Linked DNA regions of Macaca fascicularis. The protein of the gene in region 1 purifies or fractionates together with the protein of each later gene. This does not show direct contact. Links are inferred from orthologs where the notes say so. Each region holds a gene or a part of one and is shown in the gene's direction. Other genes may lie near its edges.

What was found. The genes of interacting proteins can lie anywhere in the genome.
Region 2: the proteins of LGALS3BP (region 1) and MYCBP2 purify together in Homo sapiens (co-immunoprecipitation; 3 studies listed by BioGRID and IntAct, counting the BioPlex papers as one, with this or other methods). This does not show direct contact. The link is inferred for Macaca fascicularis from reciprocal best matches to the Homo sapiens genes LGALS3BP and MYCBP2.

What each region holds. Positions count from the first base shown.
Region 1 is NC_088390.1:85,379,942-85,383,110, reverse strand, and holds part of LGALS3BP (galectin-3-binding protein), read left to right. Parts: intron 1-925; coding exon 926-1,117; intron 1,118-2,125; coding exon 2,126-2,257; intron 2,258-3,169.
Region 2 is NC_088391.1:68,187,882-68,191,529, reverse strand, and holds part of MYCBP2 (E3 ubiquitin-protein ligase MYCBP2), read left to right. Parts: intron 1-496; coding exon 497-703; intron 704-1,524; coding exon 1,525-1,656; intron 1,657-3,579; coding exon 3,580-3,648. UniProt on the Homo sapiens protein: Atypical E3 ubiquitin-protein ligase which specifically mediates ubiquitination of threonine and serine residues on target proteins, instead of ubiquitinating lysine residues.

The sequences.
Region 1 (3,169 bases):
CAAAAGTCTGTGAGGCTGCTGCAGCCTGGGTCTGCGCAGAGCTTCAAGGAGATGCTCTGCCTGGGGCCCGGGGCCCAGCGGTTAGCCAGGTCTTCTCTCCTGCCTGCGGCACCAGGTATCCCAAGTGATGGTGGCTTGGAGGTTCCAGGGGGCTCACCTGGGCTCAGGTGAGATGCAGGTTATAGAGAGGACACTAAGGAGTCCTCCATTCTGTCCAGAGGGAACCAGAGGAGCTGGTCAAACCAGCAGTCACCGGGGCTGTGGTGAAGTCAACGGCCTCGGACGCAGGTCAATCTTCCAGAGGGTCCTGGCTGCTTTTCCTCACATCCTTTGCACTGTGAGCCCCTGGAGGCTCACGCTCATCCTGGGGGCCCCACGGAAGCCAGATGTGCCCCCAGCTAGATTCAGGCACCCAGCTCCTGCCCGGCTCTGTCAGCTCCTATAGGGGCTGGAGTGTCGGCAGGCTGAGTCCCAGAAGGACGTGTGGAGTGGGAATCCCATTCTCTGCCCTGGAAACATTCCGTCTGTGCTCCCAGGGGTCCCTAGGCCTGCGCCCCCACAGGCCAGCACCCCCAAACTGCAGACACCCTCGGGCGGGTCAGCACAGGGCCTCCATTCCCCCACGATCCTTCCCCCGGGGTCTTGCCACCTCCATTCCCAGTGCTTGAGAACCTGGGGCTTCTCTGCCCCTGTTCTGTCTATGGAGTGAAGGGCTGAGACCCCTAAAACAAGGAAAGGCGAGTTTAGCCTCCGTGGGGCAGGGGGCTGTATGTATCTTCCACTCCTCCCTCATGGAGAGGCCAGGGGACCTTGAAACCCTGGAAAAGAAGCTCAGCAGGGGAGACCCAGGACAGCATGGGTCCTGGAGGTGCGGGCGGTGGGTACCGCAGGCCCCAGCCTGGCCCTCGCTCGTCTCTGCCTGCAGGCATGAACGATGGTGACATGCGGCTGGCCGATGGGGGCGCCACCAACCAGGGCCGCGTGGAGATCTTCTACAGAGGCCAGTGGGGCACTGTGTGTGACAACCTGTGGGACCTGACTGATGCCAGCGTCGTCTGCCGGGCCCTGGGCTTTGAGAACGCCACCCAGGCTCTGGGCAGAGCTGCCTTCGGGCAAGGTAGGGCCTGCTGTCCCCGTCCTCCAAGGCCGAGACCCACAGCACAGCCAGCTCCCAGGCAGGGCAAATTCCCGAAGATGAGACAGTCAGGTTTCAAAGACATGCAAATTGGATTACTATTAATTTAGCAAGAGCAAACAAACAATTTTTTTTTTTAAACGGAGTCTTGCTCTGTCACCCAGGCTGGAGTGTAGTGGCACGATCCCGGCTCACTGCAACCTCGGCCTCCTGAGTTCAAGCGATTCTCCTGCCTCAGCCTTCTGAGTAGCTGGGATTGCAGGTACTTGCCACCATGCCCGGCTGACTTTTGTATTTTTTAGTAGAGAAGGGGTTTCACCATGTTGGCCAGGTTGATCTTGAACTTCTGGTGTCAAGTGATCCGCCCGCCTCAGCCTCCCGAAGTGCTGGGATGACCACACCCGGCCTAAGAGCAAACACTTTTGATGGCGCTGAAGCCCTGTGGATCAAGTTCCGGTGGGACTGCGTCACCCACACTTGGCCGGTGACGGTGGCAGGTGCTTGGGCAGGTTCAAGAGCTGGGCTGGGCTTGTTCCCTCCGGCCCAGAAACTCCACTCCAGGAGTTTATCCTCTTGAAACAATTTCCCCTCAAAAGAAAAGTCTGTATGCAGGAAGATTTCCACTAACACAGCAGTTGCAATTCTGGAAAAAAAAGAGAAACAATCCACCAACTATTTTGCAGCAGGGATAGTCACACAAATACAGTATGTGCGCCTGATGTTGCAGGGACAGGCACGCAATTACTGTACATGAACGTGATGTTGCTGCAGGAGCCAGTAAGCTTTGTAAGCATGAAGGCTAAGTTTATGGCCTGACGTTGCAATCACAAACCCAGCCCTTGCTGGAATATCCACCGTGGTTCGCCGGTGAAGGACCTGTACGCAGACGGACCCGCACGGCTGGGGCGCGGAACAAAGGGCTGAGTCTCGCTGTGGGACTCCTAGGTGCAGTCATCACACCCCTAGCCCTGCCATCTGCTGTGTCCACAGGATCAGGCCCCATCATGCTGGACGAGGTCCAGTGCATGGGAACCGAGGCCTCGCTGGCCGACTGCAAGTCCCTGGGCTGGCTGAAGAGCAACTGCAGGCACGAGAGAGACGCTGGTGTGGTCTGCACCAATGGTGAGCACTTCCCTGCGGAGGCCCCAGCGTGCCCTGGGGTCCCGTGGCCCCTGCCCCTCCCGGCACCACCCCCCCACACACGAAGCACACAAAGGTTCCTTCCACTACCACCTGCCCACTCCGCATGGAGAGTCCCGGACGTCCAAAGAGCCCACCAGCTCCCAGTCCCACAGTCCTGGACTCCTCCCCAGCCCCTTCTGGAGAAACGCCCAGAACCACCAAGTCTCCATGCGGAACCCGAGTGTGGGGCAGGGAGCCACAGTCTCAGTGAGCAGGACACCTGGCTGCAGCCCGACCTGAAGTGCCAGCGCCCGCTCGGAAACACACTTCACAGCATGCGACAGGCTCAAGCCCGTCCTGGCGGAGGGAGGCCCGACCACTCGCCGCCCCAGCCAGCTTCCCCCAACCCAGCCCGGTGTGGAGGGAACCCAGGCTGCTCTATGGGTTGGAGCCCCTGGATCTGAGTTTCTTGTGTTTCTTCCGTGCCAAGGTGGTTCTTCCTGGGCTTGCACAGGACAGCCTGGGTACTTCCTGCCTACCGCCCTTTGCCAGGAGCTGGAGGCCCCTAAGGCAGGAGGGGTCGAATCCCAGGGAGCCCCTGTGCCCACATGGGATGGACAAATGACTGGAGCCAAGCCTGGACTCACAGTGCGGGAAGCCCACGAGATGCCATGGGGCTGTCGGGGGCCGGGGGAGGCCAGGCGGAGCATGCGGGGCTGTGGGTGCCGGGCAAAAGCTCCTGGGGCAGGAGAGCTGTGGTGAGGCGTGCAGGTGGGAGGCAGCTGGGGGTCCTGCAGTGGTTCAGGTTTTAGGAGGCCCAGGGCAAGCCCACCTGGTTGAAAGGTCATGGTTACTTCAAACCTATTATATTTGTGACAAAGAAAAAACTATGGGATTTCGTTTTGAGTTAGG
Region 2 (3,648 bases), on another chromosome or scaffold:
TTCTTCAAATGAAGTCTTGCAAATTCACAGGTGAGAGGAGAGAGGACATAGTCTGGTTGAAGAGGGGAACCATAAATTTACCTCTTCCTTGCATACCTTTCTCTGCAGAATATCTAGAGCTCTATGTCGCATAGTTTGAAAACTGTTGATCTATAGAATTTCGATGACATTTTTAGCATCTCTTTTCAAAGTCTAGTGATTTATTCATACATTATGACTGATAAGACAAGCTTGTACTTCTAACGTTATAAATTAAGTGGAAAATATAGTTTCATATGGCTGAAGGAAGAAAATACTGTCAAGTGACACTGATTTGTGAATTTAGAATGATAAAATCTGGTTTTATTGTGAGTTAATCTCTCAGTAGAACATACGTTTAGAAATGCTTATACCCACTTATTAAATAAAGCTTATTTTATTAGACTTCTTAGAAACCTTTGGATGGTTTTGTTAAAGGTGTACAAACTACTGATGCAGTTGCTTTTGTTGTCCACAGGTTGATGGACTTAATTCTCTTCACTCTGTAAAAGCTAGTGCTAACCGATTTACAAAAACAAGTCAGGGCAGAAGCTGGAACACTGGGAACGGGTCCCCTGATGCAATCTGTTTTTCAGTAGACAAACCTGGAATAGTTGTAGTTGGTTTCTCTGTCTATGGAGGAGGTGGAATTCATGAATATGAATTAGAGGTCTTGGTTGATGATGTAAGTATCACCCTTTCAGCATTTATCCTGATTAGTGGGTTGTGTATCAGGATTTACCATTGTCATAGTATGATGGGTCCATACCTTCAGGGGTTTACTAGATCAATTACAGATGAATGACACTAAAGAAACTGAAAAAGGCTGGCCACAGTGGCTCACACCTGTAATCTCAGCACTTTGAGATGCTGAGGCAGGTGGATGACTTGAGCACAGGAGTTTGAGACCAGCCTAGGCAGCATGACAAAACCCCATCTCTATGAAAAATACAAATATTAGCTGAGTGTGGTGGTGCACGCCTGTAATCCCAGCTACTCTGGAGGCTGAGGTGGGAGGATCACTTGAGCCCGGGAGGTTGAGGCTACAGTGAACCATAATCATGCCACTGCACTCAAGCCTGGGCAGCAGAGTGAGACCCTGTCTCAAAAAAAGAAAGAAAGAAAAGAAACTGAAAGATAATGATTTTACCTCATTGCTTGTGTTCCATCTTTCCACCTTGGATCACTACTGCTTATATTTTTTGTACTTTCAGAAAGAGAAAGATTTAAAGTGGAATTAAAGACTAAAATTTATTTAGCTAAGTCCCTGATGACAAGTCTTGAGTAGTTTTTTTTTTATATTGTAATTTTTCAAGAAACACAATGTTCAGATGTCATAGAGTACTAATTCAGCTATATCTTTCTAATCCATTCTCTAAAATTACTTAAAGTACCGGAGTTTTATTAAAATAGGACAGAAAGGGGTAGCATGTAAATCATTGCCTAGTAAATAGCAAGTTTATCTCTATCTCTAACTTGATTTTTTTGTTTCCTTTTTTTTTTTAGAGTGAACATGCTGGAGATTCAACTCATTCCCACAGATGGACATCTCTGGAATTAGTGAAAGGAACTTACACAACAGATGACTCACCCAGTGATATAGCTGAAATCAGACTTGACAAAGTGGTTCCTTTAAAGGTAGTTTCAACTGTATGTTTCTATTGTGAATAAGAAGAATTATTATGTAGTTAAAATAGTGAAGAGTATTCCATGAATTTTGTTTGTTAGATACAGCTATTCGTAAGTTATCCTTTATATGGTAGGTACTTCAGATATTTATGGAGTACCTACTATGTACCTGATGTTGTACCACATTATATTATATTTTTGTATAATGTTTCTTAAAGTCTGGAGTAGTAGGAAGCTTTGTAGTCAAACAGATTAAACTCTGGATACCTGCTGTTCCAACATACTAGCTTTAAGACACTGAGTTCATTATTTAACCACTTTGAGACTTATCTGTAGATTGGAAAGAATAATACCTGCATTGTAGTATTCTTGAGATTAAATAATAGAAATAAAACACCTGCCTCAGTGTCTAGCACAGTATGAAAAATAAGCATTAGCCCTGTCTTTTCTTCTCTTATTGTTTGTTGTTTTGTTGTTTTGTTTTGCTTTTGTTCTTTTTTTTTTTTTTTTTTTGAGATGGAGTCTCACTCTGTCACCCAGGCTGGAGTGCAGTGGCATGATCTTGGCTCACTGCAACCTCCACGTCCTGGATTTAAATGATTCTCCTGCATCAGCCTCCCGAGTAGCTGGGATTACAGCCACGTGCCACCATACCCAGTTAATTTTGTATTTTTAGTAGAGAGGGGCTTCGCTGTGTTGACCAGGCTGGTCTCGAACTCCTGCCCTCAAGTGATCCACCCCCGTCAACCTCCCAGAGTTCTGGGATTACAGGCGTGAGCCACCACACCCAGCCTATTTTCTAACAATATTTGGCAAAATAGAGAAATTTTACCACATCAAAGTAATTATAAATGTTAAAGTAACATTAAAGTATTTCTGAATTCAACTGAAATAAATTTCATTATAGGACAAAATTTTGGATAAGATCGGTACATGAGAGATTTCATCAGGAAGAATTTAGATACTGAAAAACCAAAAAGCTTTTATTGTGAAATTTATATCATGGTTCATAAAGCATTAGTTTCTATAGCTCACATTTTCAAAGTACAGTGCATTATATTTTGGACAGCTTTTTTCCTGTGGGTTTTTTTTTCTCATGTCTGTTTGCCTATAAATTTCTATCTCTGAGATTTTCTTAAAAATATAGCAGAGTCACCCTTATTTTTTTCTCACATCTAAAATTATTTTAAAAGTTAAACTAGTCAAGGAAAAGTATCAGCTTATGCAATTAAAATCTCGTATTGCTGGGCACAGTAGCTCACACCTGTAATCTCAGCACTTTTGAGACACCAGGGAGGGAGGATCACTTGAGCTTGGGAGTTTGAGGCCAGACTGGGCAGTATAGTCAGACCTTATCTCTACAGAAACACCTTAAAAAATTGGCTGAGTGTGATGGAACGCACCAGTGGGAGAATTGCTTGAGCCCAGGAAGAGGAGGCCACATTGAGCCAGGATTGCACCACTGCACTCCCAGCTGGGTGACAGAGCAAGATCCTGTCTCAGAAAAAAAAAAAAAGAAAAATTATTATGGCTAATATTCTAGCAGTAAAATTACGAGCAGGCACTAGTTACATTGGTTGTGTTCAGACCTAGTTCCATCACTTACTAGCTGTGTGACTTAGAACAAATTACTTAACTTCTCTGAACCTCAGATTCCTCATCTGTAAAATAGGGATAATAATGATACTTACCTCATGAAGCCATTTTAAGGATTAATTGAATTCCATAAAGTACTTAGGACAGTTGCTTTTATGCAACAGGCATTCAGTAAATATTAGCTGTCATCATGTTTGATTCATTAAAAACTTGTATCATCTGTAAATATGATAAGAAATTTCAGTATATTTGCCTATTTTACTGCTAGAGTTCTTTTTGTATATCCTCTGTACATTGTGAATAAATGTAAACATGTTTTACATCTTTATAATGAAGGAAAATGTTAAATATGCTGTGCGCTTGAGGAACTATGGAAGCCGTACAGCCAATGGAGATGGAGGAATG